Linked DNA regions of Astyanax mexicanus. The protein of the gene in region 2 interacts with the protein of the main gene of each other region in a pairwise test. Links are inferred from orthologs where the notes say so. Each region holds a gene or a part of one and is shown on either strand. Other genes may lie near its edges. The genes, in order: lmo4b and rbbp8.

Region 1 (8,220 bases), on a different chromosome or scaffold from region 2:
CATATTTCAATGATAAAAAAAAAAAAAAAAAAATCAGAAAAAGGGAAGTAAGTAATTTTTCTTGCCCATTTATGAAAAGCTCATTAAAAACAGGCAAAGAACAAACAAAGCTTCTCCTTTGAGGCACCCATTCAGACTCGTCCCCTAATTTCCCTCTAGTTTTAATAGTTGAGATAAATTAATTATTCCTTTGTGGAAAATACATTCTTTGCCATCTTTGGCTCATTGTTCCAGCCGGAGAGAATGGCGCCTAATCCTGGATGGAACAGAGTTCCCCTTCCAGCAGGGAAATCAGACCGCGCTCCGCAATCAACCACGACCACTCACAATTAAACCATTAAGACGGCCTACCGGAGACTCTTTACACACTGTACGTCTTATTAATGAATCCAGAGGCAACTCATAATTGCGCCCGAACTGATTAACTGCCCACTGAAACCCCGTCTCAGAGTGCCATGACACTTTTCACCTTCTGAACTACTCAAACAAACATTTCAGCACAATTCAACTTACAGAGTTACAGAGCCAACCACTGAAGTCCGAACCAAAGTCTGAACTCAGATTCATGCGTTTGTATACAGTACACAGTATACAGTATAGAGTTAATTATCAGAATACTCTCCCAGATGGCATGAAGAAACGGCCTGAGCTCGACTTTTGTATACTGCAAAAATCTAAAAAAATAAATATTAGGAAGTAAAATTATTAAATTTCAATGCAATAAATCTTATTCATCTTTTTTCTCTGATAAGAGTTTTTGTCTTACTAATCATTGTATAGATTGAATAGTAAGTGTAAGATTATTCAGCTTATTTTAGGAATAATGATCTTAATCAGACTCACAAAACAGAGGTACAAAAGGAGTACTTTTTTGTACTCAAAAGTACACTCTTCATAATTGTACCCTCAAAGGTACAATATTGGTCTTAACAGGGTCAGATTTGTGCCCTCTGAAGTAGAAAGTAATTCCTAACAGCAATAAGTACAAATTTGTACCATTTAACCAGGCAAAAGGTACATTCAGTATACTGTACCACTTTACTAATAAACAATATATATTTTATTTTCACATTTTTTTATTTGAAAGCCAGACAATTTTGCATCATGAAGTTCTTGACACATATTTAGTTGATGATAATGTTTATAATCTTTATAATCTTTACTGGCACAAAAAACATGGGAACAAAAAAAGACTTTCACTGAAAGGTACTTTTTCGTACCTTAATATAAGGTACAGCCCCAGCGACAAGCTTTTCACTCTTTTAAGTACAAATCTGTACTTACTTTTCTTAGTGTGTATTTTAAGTAGTTTAAACTTAAAATAAGCACAAACAAAGTCACCAGTCAAGTTATTCTGTTTCTTGTATCCAAATATAGGCCAAAAAAGTGTGATATTTTCTTGATTCAGGTGTTACTTCATTTATTTTGACACTTTGCTTGATTGCTTGTTATAATAAATCTAACTAAGAAAAATTAGCTTACCCCATTGGCAGTTTTTTTTTTTTGCTTAACATAGTTTTTGCCAATGGATTTTTTGCAGTGTATCATCGACTATTGGCATCGTCTATGTGGAATTGAGATGATGGCACTTGCAGCTCAGGCCAAATGTGGTTTACACTTGCGAACCAGGATGTTGGCAAAAGTGAAATGGGAGGATTCTCATATTATACTCTGCAACAGGGGCGTCGCCTGCCCTGGGCTTCCGGGCTATGGTTTTAAGTAAGCAACAGTAAAAGGTAACTATATTATTGCTAATATAAATTAGAAGTAAATTACATTGTTAAATAAAATGCTGGGAAAACTGGGGAAACTCTATGCAAAAGTGAAAGCTAGTGATGTTTTTTAAATGTTTTTAGAGTTTGTCATTTTCGTTTTCTGCCACATGCAGTTTTTTCATCTTGTTTCTAAGTTTTTTAATAAGACGGCAACAATCAACCATGCTGAATTACAGCACACTTTTAAATCCATCAAATATAAAAAAACTACATATTATGCAGGATGCTTAAAAAATATATGTAAAAAAATCTTATAATTGGCTGAGCTGAGCCCCGGGTCTTTAGCTGCCCATGCAACGCCCCTGCTCTGCAACCAGAGTGGTGGCACATACGGCTCAGGCTGATTGTCGTATTGTACTCAACAACCGAAGACTTGCCCCAGGCAGTTTAGGCTACTTATCATTGTCACACAACTTAGCCTGTGTCTGTCTTGTGTTTTTTCCTCTTTTGGTTCGATGTGCTTCTGCCCTCTGTTTTCCTGTCTTGTGTTCCCAGCCATGTGCTTTTTTAAGCACATGGCCATGTTGTGTTATTGTCCTGTCTTCGCCCTAGCCTTTCCCTAGCCATTAGTGTTGCCACCTTGTGTCTTGTTTGTAACCCCGCCCCCTCGTTTACTGGTTCCAGGTGTTCCTTACCCTCCTAGTGCATTTAAGCCCCTTTGTCTTAGTGTTTTTTGCTGTACTTGTATGTATGCGTCAGGTTTGTTTTTGATTTGAGTATTATTGTTTTCTAAGTTTTGATTAGTTTTTGTTCTGGTCTTAGTTATTTAGTTTCCCAGTTTAGATACCTGTTTTGTGTATCTTGCATTACTGGTGTTTGTTTTGTGTTTTGCTTTTGTTTAACTTTCCTGTGTGACAGTTATATTATACTCAACAACCGGGGTGATGGACTAAGTGATTTGAGCCAATTCCCATATTATACTCGACAACTGACGAACTGGAAAAAAGTGGACTCTTTAACCGAAGAGGTGTGGCTTGAGTCGATTGTCGTACTATACTCTACAACCAGAGAGTTCGCATTTGCGGCTCAGGTGAGCCCAGATGTGAGCCGAGCATTTGGGCCAGAATAGAGCCCAGATTCAAATTCGGATCTCTGCCAGTGCAACTCGTGCTCAGTGTGTGGTTTTTGTTATCAAGGGTGTCTTCTAGCCTTCAAAACACACAAATAATAAAGTAAGATTTTAATTTGCTACACTATAATCATAATTAAAAGGCAACACAGAAATCTCATTTTTTATAGCTCAACCACTTTTTATTTCCCGCAATGCATGCGCCCAAGGTGGACAATAACAGGGTGGATTATTATTATTATTTTTTTTATTTTTTATTATTTAATGAAAACATGGTTGATTTACAGTTGAAGACATGTTAAATTGTATACAGTAGCCTTGTATCTGTTTCAAAGACACATTTTAATTTTCTAAAATTCGTTTGATTTATATATGTCTAGTCAGAATGAATTAATAGAACTATTATTATTACTATTGATGATTTATTGACATAGCTGATGCCTGAAAAGGGATTCTAGCAGTAAAAACTACTCTAATGAAGAATAAGGAATCTTAATGAAGAGATCTTGTATTTGTTGAGTTCATTATTTACATTTTAAATATATATATATATATATATATATATATATATATATATATATATATATATATATATATATATTTTTTTTTTTTTTTTTTTTTTTCTGTTGGTGTTCTGTTGCAGTTTTGTTGCAGTTCTACAGAATTCTCTTCATTATGCTATAGTGACAACACCTTTATTTTCTAGTAGGTTCTTCTCTTCACCTCCTGCTATAGGAATATAAGCTTCCATTGCCCCTTAGACTAATGTAGTCCCCAAACTTTACACCAGCAGAGATGAGTAATCAATTATCAGCATTAAATATTGACGTTTAATGTATTCAGTTGTGTTTTTAGTGGTATAGTTCCATTTATGTCCAGATGATGGCGCCACTGTGTAAGAGCAGGTGCTGAAAAATGGCTTTGTGTTGGACAGTCAGTCACAGCAGCATCAAACTCACAGCCTGAAAAGTTCCTGTGCTCTCAGCTACATCTACAGCTACCAAAATATATATATATATATATATATATATATATATATATATATATATATATATATATATATATATATATATATATATATATATATATATATATATATATATATGCAGGTCAGCAGTGTTGCTCTGATATAGGGGTTGGTTGTGAAGGTGTTGCTGCTACATATGGTTAAATGTTGGAAAGCAACTTTATTTGGCTAATGGAACTGTATCCAAAACATGAAAATATGGTAGATGGTGCAACGCATATATTTGATAAATACAGCAGTGCCTACAAACATTAAGCTAAATGTTTTAGTCCCAAAACATTTAAATATATTTGGCTTAGTCTTCAAACATTTTGCTAAATGTTTGTCAAAAAAAAAACTTCTAAAAAAATTTCTAATAGGGCTGTGCCTGAAAATGTTTGGCTAAATGTTGGTATCCAGGAATATTACAAAAACGCTTGTCTAATAGAGCTTTGTCTAAAAACATTTGGCTAAATGTTTATATCCAAGTACATTGCAAAAATACTTGTCTAACAGCGCTTTGTCTAAAAATGTTTTGCTATATGTTGGTATCCAAGAACATTGTAAAAATACTTGTCTTAACTGATCAGTGTGTCTAAAAACGTTTGGCTAAATGTTCAAGTCCAAAAATATAGGGAGTTCAGAAACATGTGGTGGAATGCAACTCCACCAAATTCCATGGAATCCACACACATTTAGCTAACTGTTTTAACCCAAACACATTTAAATACATTTTGGCTAATTGTAGTAAGGTTTCAAACATTTGGCTAAATGTTTCAACAAAAAAAAAAAAAAAAAAAAAAAAACATTTAAAATAATTTGGCTAATAGTAGTAAGTCTTCAGACATTTGGCTAAATGTTTTGACCCAAAACATTTAAATACATGTGGCTATTAGTAGTTAGTCTTCAAACATTTGGCTGAACGTTGGAGTCCAAAAATATTGCAAAAAGTTTTGTCCAATAGAACAGTGTACAGAAACTTCTGGTTAAATGTTGGGAGTCCAAAAACGTTTGGTTAAATGTTGGAACGCAATACATCTATGTATCAGAGCTGTGTCTACAAAGGTTTGATTAAACGATGGAAAATATAAAAGTAGAAAAATTAAACTGCAGCTCACCTCCTTCACTCAGAACTCAATGTGCTGTATTGCGCTGCTCTGATTGGCCGGATTTGTTCATCCCCCGGAACGGAGCTCCGCACGATTGGCTGCTACAGATTGACGTGCTGCAATGTGGGCGGAGCCTGTGTGTTTTTTTATTATTTGTATTTTTTCTCAGTCACTGACACATGTAGAGCAGCGCAGCGAGCAGCGCGGAGAGAGAGAGACAGAGACAGAGACACGAGGAGCAGCGGCGGAGATTACGAGCCTCACACCGCGTTTCAGAGCTCTCACACCGGCCACAGCCTGAGGGAAATTACCGAGAGCTGAACGAGAGACCGAGCTGAGCGAGAGTACGAGCGGTGTCGGGTTCGGGAGAGACAGGGAGACGGCGGGAGGAGGCGAGGGACGGGTCGGAACCGGTGGAAATATAATCTGTAAACTCCATTTGCTGAAGCGGATCCGGAGCTGAGCAGCGCTGTAGCTGATTCTCCAGCCCGCCAGAGAGCTCACCACTGCCCGGATACCTCCTCATGCAGAGCCGCTGAGCTTTATGGACGATTTGTTTTGGTGTTTTTTGAAATATTTTGTTAATTTGACATTTTTTACCAGTTTTTGAACTGTTTCTTGACCCCCCACGGGACACAGAAAGAAAGCTACAGTCATTTAGACGCTTGAAAACGAATTTACTCGGCTGTAAAAGAGGTGAGTTCGGGTTTTTAATGGTGTAAAACTAGTCCAACTTTTAAACTTACACCCTTTTTAACTTAGAAAAATCTACATCTTACTATTGTCAGAATAATGTAATGCTTATATTTGTTTATTAAGCTTTTATTAAGGGTGGTTTACTTCCTCAGGTACAGCTGCATAGCTAACCTAGTAAACGTGCGCATTAATTAGGAATAAGCTCATTACAATAAGGATGCACGATACTGAAGAAAAAAAAAGGTGCATTGCGATATTTTTTCCTGCGATATATATCACGATATGAATTTTTTTTTTGAAAAATAAATAAATAAATAAAATCTAAAAAATTAACGATCCAACATGTCACAATATTGATAATCTAATAATGCTCTGTGTATTGAAGATTTGAGTGAAATCAATATTGATGTAATCTACTTTTGATAACTAATAGTTTGTTATAGATATGTCATTTAAAATATCTTTTTTGTATCAAACAGCAAAAAAAAGGATGCAGAAGTTATGTGAATATGTGTATGATATATTGTGTAGCCCTAGTTTAAATAGCATGGCAAAGACTGCAATAATGTCAACTAATATTCACAAAAAGTCAAGTCTGTCACTTGTTTTATCATACAATATATGTTTTTATACAGTATTTTGTACAAAATATAGTTCAATAGTTGTGCTGTTAGTAACACATTTTAAAACGTCCATCCAAATACCCTCCTATACACACAGCACTTTAAAATGATTTGTTTTAATCAAATGTTGCTACATACTTTTCATGTTAAACCACAGTACAGTAATTACACACTCTGTAATGCATGTAAAAAAAAGTACACACAGTTTAACTATAGCTCTAGAATTGCACTTTTTTTAATGTCAAAGGTATACTACTGTAATGAACAGGTATTACTTATAATAAGGTTTATAAGAAATATAAGATAAGATCATCCTTTATTAATCCAAACCACAGTGGGGGAATTGGTGTATTGCAATATTACAGCAGTGTAGAGGACAGAACAGATGGAAAATATGTTCAAAAATATACTAGACATTAGTATTACTCGTGCACATGATGACATAGACTAGTTAACAGATTAAACAGATTGTGCTACACATGGTGAATCAATGGGATACTATTATAGGATGTTGCATATATAGTAAACAGTATGCAGTTATCCTGCACCTGGTTGGACAGTGATAAAAATAAAGCGTTAATAGTAAATAGTAAAGAGCTGTATTGAAAAACCTTATAGAACTGGAGGAAACATTGTCCCCCATAGTGTATATGTTGTGTTAAACAGTAAACAGTGATGAATAAGCAAATTATTAAAAGCAAAAAATAAGTAAATAAGTTATAATATCTCTCTTAATGAAATTGAACAAAGTGAATAGAGTGTGCTACACATGGTGAATGGGGAGATATAGCATATAGTAAACAGTACACAGTTCTACAACAAATGGATGGACAGTGAGTAAATAGTACATAGTAAAACTTTATGTTGTACGTAGATGTAGATTAGAGAAAACATGTTTTCCCAGTATATAGTTTGTGCTGTTGTAGACAGTGCTCATTTATAATTGACTTAAGTTAACAATAAATAAATAGCAGATTAACATTAAAAAGATGTGATATTGGACATAGCATGCATAGTAAACAGAGTGACCAGATAGTGAGTGCTGCACATGGTGAACAGTACACAGTTATACAGCACCTGATTGGACAGTGATAGAAGTATTGTACATAAGTAAACAGTAAGTGTTTAGTGTTATTTTACAAAATGACATAGAAAACAGAGTGAACAGAGTGTGCTACACGTGTTGAATGGGACTATTATGGGATATTGCACATATAGTAAACAGCACACAGCACATGATCTTACTTTAATAGCAAAAAAATGTGATTTAATAGCAAATTACCAATAAATATGTAATATGAGTACTATGTATTATGATCATATAGTTCTAAACATGGTAGTACAAGTAGCCTGGGGGGATATTATGGATATTGAACATTAAACAGTAAACAGTTATGTTTAACAGCACATGGTTAGTGCTGTGATAGTGATGCTTAGTGTTATTTAAGTTATATTGTAGGAGTATAATATATTCATATATATTTATCAGAAATTATTCAATTTAGTCAGCTGAATGAAAGCAGTGTCTGTTATTTATACAGATGTTTAACATCAGAGAGGTCTGCGGTCACCATGCCGCTTATCTTCTCTGGCGAACGCTATATTTCGTGCTCGAGCTGCACGGCCGTGTAATTGCTTGAGTTAGCCCATTTAAGTTAAAAGCCTCCCCCCTTCCTCCTCCTCCTCATCCTCTTCCTCACCCACCTTCAAATCTCCCCTTCCTCTGTAGCCGGAATGAAACTTGACGATGGTCCGATCTTATTTATCAGGAGCAGTCCCTTTCTGTCCGGCCCCTCTGATTCATCTGCTTTTAGATTTAATCAGCACTAAGGTATTGCTTGTCCCTAAGAGCCTCCACTAATGGGGTTTATACTGAATGCCTCTCTCAGTGCAACGTTTTTCTACCCCTCCTCCTCCTCCTCTTCCCTCCTTCCTCCTCCTC
Region 2 (7,779 bases):
AACAGAAATATCAGTCCCACTGATTTAACAATTGTCTCCAATAACTGTGTAATTAAACATTAACAATCCATGTAATAATATAGTAACTACTGGTGAATACGAACGGTTACATGCGTATCAGTGTCAGTTAGACATAGCAGAATATGTTGTCCATCTTCCCATAATTAAATATGAATTATTATTTTTATTACTTTTTATTACTCACTGTAAAAAAAATAAAGAAATAAATGCATTTTGGTCAGTTTGCATTCTATTAAATTCTAATCATGAATTTATAGCGGATCAGGTGAGGACGATATATAGACTTTATTTAATCACTACATATTATTAAAGCGAAATATATAAATGCTTTAATATATAAATAAAATAAGACACTTCCAGGCACTCTTTAAATACTAAATAATATATAAAATTGACACTGTGCAGCATAATTCAAATCAGTATCTGAATAGTTGTTTATGAAGTTTTAATTTTACACTTCAGGACATGAAAATTTTACAATAGTTTATTCATAGATTATTATTATTAGACAAATCCATGTGAACTAATTTGCATAATCATTTTGATTTAAGGCTTTTTCTGTAATTAAGTTACATGCATAAAGTATAATACATGATAAATGAAGTTTACATCTGGGAATATTCAATCCTAGAGAAGTAAAGAGAAATACCTCTCTTTGAGGAGTCTGATAGATTCCTGCAGGGCTTTCTGCTGCTCTCGTAGCTGCTGATTTTTATTGTAGAATTCCTCCAGTTTTTGTGCGTCGCTTATAAAGAAAACAAGCAGCACAAATATCACTGACAGAACACTGCAGGTACTGCTTTAACCCTTTCAGACCCTGCATTCATTACAATGGACATCTTGTATTTTCTTTATTTTTACACATAAGACTATTAACACAGTTTGAACACTGTCTGCCCTCTGTACTGAAAAAAGAACAGTAGCACTAAAGCCATTGAGGCAAAGTAAGAGCTAATTTTTACTAATGTAATTTAGAACATTTTTAATGTTTAATTTTAATTTTACTGTTTAAGAATGGTTTATGAAGTAAAAAGGTCAATGTGAAATAAAAAAAAAATACACACAAACTTCCAATGTAATGAAAATAAAAATCAATTATTAAATAATTTTGTTAATTCGCTGTATAGATTAATTTGCTATATAGATTTTATAGTAAAAAAACATCACTGTAGTTAAAACAGGTCTGAAAGGGTTAAAACAGCTTAAAACACAGTAAACAAGAAAGGGCCAAAAACTCTACTTACAGACAACGCTCCTTCTTCAGCTTGGTCACCTTTGACTGCAGACCTACAAAAAAACATTTGGAGTCTCTTAAAATCCAGAAGTGTCAGATACTGCTATTTTTTTTACATATGTAACACTGACAGGCTGTGTGTTAGTAAAACCCTGAGATGCTTTTATGTCTACATTTGGAAAATATATGTATTTATTTAGCATTGTCGAGTAGCGCAGTGATACACCAGCTCACAGACACCTCAAACTGACCAGATTGCATGAATCTGTGTGCACTCTGCGGTGCATGACAATTTGCTGCAAAGTTCAGCTTTTAGTGGCAGCTGCTAGTTTTAGTATAGTACTACCACTGACTCACTTACTAGGTTCAAACAAATTAACCAATTAAAACACATTTAGCTTTTAACCAACTGTATACAAACAATCAAATGAACAGTTTCTGCTGAGAAATTTGTTTTTACATTTATTGTTTAATATAGGAACATAATCACTGCTGCCCAGCATTACTGTAGTATTAACGCTATTAAAATGTAAATTGTTGTGCAAGCTCTCCAGAGACAGTACCTTGTACTACAGTATCATGGCACTCCCTGAGGCGGCTCAGTAGATCCTGAAAGAGCTCTTCATTATTGCCAGAGGTGCCACTGAACTGAGGACTGGTCATTGTCGTTTAGTCCACCAAGCTACCTCATCACATGCCGAACAGCCAACATGCACACTCTCTGTTGAGACAGAAATAGCAGTTAAATTAACCGGTGTGAAAAAATCTGAACGTGAGATATGAATATTAATAATGTTTCTGTTAAATTTTATAGTTTTAAGTTCATACTTATTTTAACTTGGAGCTTTACATTAGGTGATTTTGGTTGAAAACAACATTAACATAGAAAGTAAATACAAAAAAATGCAACAAAAAAAATCAATATACATAATATGCTCCAAATACATCTTTTTTTAATCATATCCTATATGCGGCCACCTTGACAACAAACCACCTCCACACATGTTCTTTTGATGAAATCCTGCAAATAAAATCCTGACTAAACTAGAAATGCTCTGTAAAGAAGAATGGTCCAAAATACCTTCAACCAGACGCTTCAACAAGACTCTCATTGGAAGCTTTATGAAGCATTTAGAGGCTGTTATTTTATTTCTGCAAAAGCAAGATCTACTAAATATTAATGTATTTCTTCTGTTGGTGCCCAAATTTATTCACCTGTCTGATTAGATTAAATAATAATTGCAGACTTTCTGTAAATCCTATAAACTTAATTTTACTTCTCAAATATCACTGCGTTTCTCTGCTATATTATATATTTAAACACAATTGCTGAACTGAAAACAACCAATGATTTATAAGGGAAACTGTTTTTAATTCCACTGTAACGAGCTAGTTATTTAGCTAGTTAGCTTAACTAGGTTTACAAACATAAGCTTAGCTATTTAGCTTAGCTATCTGTATAAAGTCTAAAACTACAGCTACAGACAGTTTAAAAACACAGTTATTTTAGCTATAACTCGGAAAGTCGAAGCTCACTAAAAACCCTATGTGTTTTCCACTAATAAATACTAACGTAGTTACGTGTTTGTGTGTGTTTATCTCGTAAAAACGATTCATAAATCCGAAACTGCATTAAAACCAACAACCCAAACAAACAAAAAGACAGACTTTACGCACGTTTTTAAACAGAACCTGCGGGCTAACCTAAATAACACGCGTAACAGAGTCTTACCTATATCTGCTTGAGTCTAAAACACACATAATTTTACACATAAATCCTAAAAACAGCAGGAAAACGTTAAATTCTTACCCAGCTGTTCCCAAACACACAAACGAACAGCCCGCCAGACCTGAAGCCCGTCTGACCCGGCAGCAGAACAGCGCCCCCAGCGGCCGGACGGAAACACTTCACCCTGCAGGCAAACCAGTACAAAAACATCAGAACAATAAAATAAACTAAACCCACAAAAACATTTATATACAGCTCTGAAAAAAAAAAATAAGAGAGCACTTAAAAATGATGAGTTTCTTTGATTTTACCAAATTAAAAACCTCTGGAATACAATCAAGAGGAAGATGGATGATCACAAACCATCAAACCACCAAACTGAACTGCTTGAATTTTCGCACCAGGAGTAAAGCAGCATAAAGTTATCCAAAAGCAGTGTGTAAGACTGGTGGAGGAGGAGAACATGATGCCTTAAAACTTTACGAATATGAACTTGTTTTCTTTGCATTATTTGAGGTCTGAAAGCTCTGCATTTTTTTTGTTATTTCAGCCATTTCTCATTTTCTGCAAATAAATGCTCTAAATGACTAGAATATGTTTATTTATTTGGGAGAAATGTTGTCTGTAGTTTATAGAATAAAACAACAATGTTTGTTTTACTCAAACATAAACCTATAAATTGCAAAATCAGAGAAACTGATTCAGAAATCTACGGAGCCCCTGGCCTGAAGGGACAAGGTGTAACTTTTTTTAGTATGTGTATATTTAGTATTTATTTTTTGTTTTACTTAGTATGTGGTGCTCACCACTTAGTATGTGGTGCTTATCACTTAGTGTCTGGTGCTCACTACTTAGTATGTTGTGCTCACCACTTAAGGCCAATTTCTACTTCTGCGTCAAACCTCTGCCAGAGCCTTTGCGTCGCCACATACCCCACGCCATGGCTTGAGTGCAACTCTCTGTAAATGTAATTATGCGCGGTGCTACACGTACGGTCGCTGTGATTGGTCCGCCGGTTCTAACTGCACGCGCACGCAGAAGTATAAACGCGCTCTGCTACATAGCACAGTTTTGCGGGATATGTAGGCTACATCGTAGGTTCGACTCAAAAGTATATATTGGGCTTTAGTATCTGGTGCTCACCACTTAGTATGTGGTGCTCACCACTTAGTATCGGGTGCTTACCATTTTTAACGTAAAAAAACACCATGTCATTTCAGAGGATCCGTAAGAAACTGAAGTGGTCTCTTAATTTTTCCTATAACATACTATAACATAATAAACAGTGGAAAAGTACTGAGGCTGAAGGAGGGGAGCCGCTGCTGCAGTGAGCGCTCTCACCGCTGGGGGGCGGTATCGGTGAGTCTGACTCGCCACAGATGTCGAAGAAAACTGGGGCGCCGGAAGAGAAGGTAAACTTATCGCAGCGCAGAACAGCTGTTTTACAGAAGCTTTACCGCACTTTACCGCAGATTTAGCCCGCCTGCGCCGCTCCGCGGGGCTGTACTCTGGTGTAGAGGGGATACAGATCCGCCGGTATGATTTATAAGCAGCAGTTCGGGCTGAAAAGCCGCGTTTCAGGAGGTTTTTGTGGGTTAGCCGCTTAGCTAAGCTAACTACATTTTCACTGCCTCGACATTCCGCCGCCTCAGACCCAAAAACACCCCAAAAAACAGCCAAAAAAAAACAAAAACACCGAAAATACCGCATCTGATTCGGGCAGGAGACCGACTGGAGGAAAACACTTTATAAAGGAAAGGAAATACAGCTTTCCCAACTGAAGTAAGCCTCTATTTACCTTTATAAACAGTATATTATACCTAAAATTAGCCGATTTAGACTAAAATCACCCCAAGAGTTTAGCAGTAAAACACAAAGTACAGAGCTTTGTTATGCAGATCTTACCAGCAGAGACTTTAATTTCAGTTATCAGCTGTATCACCTGTATATACAGCTCTGGAAAACAATTATTAGACCACATCAAAATAATCAGTTTCTCTGATTTAACTACGTATAGGTATATATTTGAATGAAATAAACATAGTTTTTCATTGTATAAACGACGGACAACATTTCACCCAAATTTAAAATAGTCATAAAATCACCAGGATCACATATCATTGATGTAATTCTGACTAGTCCTACGTTAGGTTACCTTTCTCTTAACTATAATTACATTTTACTAGTAAAAACTCCAGTTAAATATATCTACATTTATTCTGTTACTAGTAGAAATTGCAGATTCAGATATATCTACACTGTAATTCTTCCTATGTTTCTTCTTTAATCTATTATTTAATCTAATTAAATTAGATTAAATCACTCCAACCATTCAAACAGTATCTAGATTACCTAACTGCTCTGTAATGCAGTTCTTACCTATGTTAGTTTACCTTTCTCTTTACTATAATTACATTTTTAGTAGTAATACTTCAGTTACAGATATATACTTACTAGTAGAAATTTATCTCTGAAATTGATGCCCATATCTACACTGTAATTCTTCCTAGTAAATGTTCTGCTTTGGAACATTGATACCAAATTCATAATTAAATCAGATAAAATGAGTGAGCAGCTTATTCGTGTTTTTTTCTAGCTGTGGGCACATGACTGTATTATTTTTAGGCTTTACAAACTGTGTTGAAAGCTATGTTTTTTAATTGTATGTACTTAAACACCTTAACTTGTATTCCACTTATTTATGTCTTTCATCACAAGCCTTTTAAACCCGCTCTCTATATAAACATGTAGACAGTGTCTAGGCTTTAACATTTTTATGAATGCTTATACATACTTGCTTGTACCAGCGTTTACTTCGTATTTATTATTTATCCATTTATGTGTTCTTTTTTCTTTAGTATGCTCGGTCCCAAAAGAAAGATGCCAGCTCAAGCTGAACCTCAAGTGAAGAAGAAAAAGGTGGATCAGAGTCCGGCAGCGTCCGATAAACACGGTCAAACATCTCAGACGACGACCAAGAGGTCCTTGAGGGCTGGAGTCTCGCAGAGGAAAGGTTCAGCTCAGTCCAGCAAGACGTCTAAAGCTCATCTGAAGGACGAGAAGGAAAAGCAGCCGCGTCGCTCCTCCAGGCTGAAGATAGCCCCTAAAAAACTGACTGGTAGGAAAAAGCGGAAGGCATCGAATGCATCTGCTGCACCAAAAGAGCTGGGCTCTAAAGGTGGGAGTAAAGCTTCAGAGATACCTGGAGAGAAAGTGTGTCAGAGTGAGCCTGTTCTGAAAAAAGGAAGTAGGAAGTACGCTGGAAGAGCAAAGAAAGGTAAATGCTCATCTCCCTCGTCTGAAACCGTTAGCACGGTGTCGGCAGCTGTGGATCCTGTGCGAACGGAGCACAACTACGGTAGACCTCCTGATATACAAAGCGAAGAGACGACGATGCCGGAGAAAAACAGCGTGGTGGACATCATCGACGTCACAGACCAAGACCCTCTCCGAGCCTCTGGTGCTAAAACGCTGAGCAAGATACCGCTTAATGAGCATAAAGAACTCCCGCCTGATCCTATCGAGAAAATCACTGTAACTTTAGATGCTAAGGTGAGTGTGATGAGAAAGTCCCCGCCACCTCTGCAAGCCCTTTTTAAAGTTATTCAGGAGACCAGCTTCAATGGTAAAGATGTGTCCGACGAGGTCGAGGTGGTTAATACGTGTTCTGTACAGGATGCTTCTGTACAGGATACTACTGTACAGGATACTACTGTACAGGATACTACTGTACAGGATACTACTGTACAGGATACTGCCCAAGATACAGAACTGTCTGCTGCTTCCGAAGGATCTCTGACCTCAGAAACCTTTCTGAATCTGGACGATATTGAGATTGAACACTGCGTGGTTGAGATTGAAACTGTGGAGGAAGTAGTTGGCGGGAACCTTGGTGCCTCATCAGAGAATTGCAATGCGCTGCCTTCGCAGGACTTGCAGCAGTTGCAGGATTTGCAGGAGGCATTAGCTCTAAAAGAAACCAGCAAAGCTGTCGTGTGCAAAGAGAGCACCTCGACTCCATCTCTGCCACAGGATGGCGCTAAGGACTCCTCCACACCGGGTTCTGTTGCACAGGCCAGCGCTGAACCTCCAAAGAAGCAAGCGATGAATCCTCAGGCCAGAACCAAGGCCCGATTAGCAGCTCTGGCTGAGGAGAGAGCAGCTGCTGCTAAGAGGCAGCCCCCCAAGCAGCTCAACCTCTTAGCTCTGTGTGAGGAAATTGCAGATGATATCGCATCGGATGCACCAGCAAAAACTGCAACACCTACAATAACTACAACAGCAGCAACAACAGCAGCATTAGCTTCAGAAGAAGATGCAGTAGAAAGAGTAGAAAAAGTAGTAGTAGAAGGAGAAGAAGAAGAAAAGAAGAACAAGAAAAGTGCTCAATCTCAATCTGAAGAGATCACCCAAAGCAAAAGTGATGAAGTGGAGGATGCACCAGTTCCCACTGTTTCCAGTGACCTGCCTTCCACTGCAACCCACGCCGAGGAAACATCCGAGCCTAAGGTGCAAGAAAACACACCCAAGAAGCGCTTCTTCCTCAGCCAGGTGTCCGTTCCTCTCAAAACCCAGGAGAAGAAGAAGCTGTCGCGTTTCCAGAGACTCAGGCAGGTGGAGCTGCAGAGGGACAAGCTGACGTGGACGCGTGTGAAGAAGCTCAAGTCTGATCAGGCCAATCAGGAGCTTGCAAACGATTCCACGCAGTCTGTGTTGCCCGACTCGTCGTCTGCATCCATCACCCCTGTCCAACAACATCCACCTCCTCAAACTCCTCCTCCTCCACCGCCGCCTC

What was found.
Region 1: the proteins of rbbp8 (region 2) and lmo4b interact in binary tests that used the Homo sapiens proteins (3 or more experiments, as listed by UniProt). The link is inferred for Astyanax mexicanus from reciprocal best matches to the Homo sapiens genes RBBP8 and LMO4.

The regions. Positions count from the first base shown.
Region 1 is NC_064412.1:49,901,360-49,909,579, forward strand, and holds the start of lmo4b (LIM domain transcription factor LMO4b), read left to right. Parts: upstream 1-5,137; 5' UTR 5,138-5,655; intron 5,656-8,220. UniProt on the Homo sapiens protein: Transcription cofactor. Plays a role in establishing motor neuron identity, in concert with MNX1, acting, at least in part, to disrupt LDB1-LHX3 complexes thereby negatively modulating interneuron genes in motor neurons.
Region 2 is NC_064413.1:973,410-981,188, reverse strand, and holds the start of rbbp8 (DNA endonuclease RBBP8), read right to left. Parts: upstream 3,155-7,779; 5' UTR 3,066-3,154; intron 1,977-3,065; 5' UTR 1,919-1,976; coding exon 1,819-1,918; intron 1,309-1,818; coding exon 1,266-1,308; intron 767-1,265; coding exon 671-766; intron 1-670. Other genes in the region: N-acetyltransferase ESCO1, read left to right, coding at 5,844-7,779. UniProt on the Homo sapiens protein: Endonuclease that cooperates with the MRE11-RAD50-NBN (MRN) complex in DNA-end resection, the first step of double-strand break (DSB) repair through the homologous recombination (HR) pathway.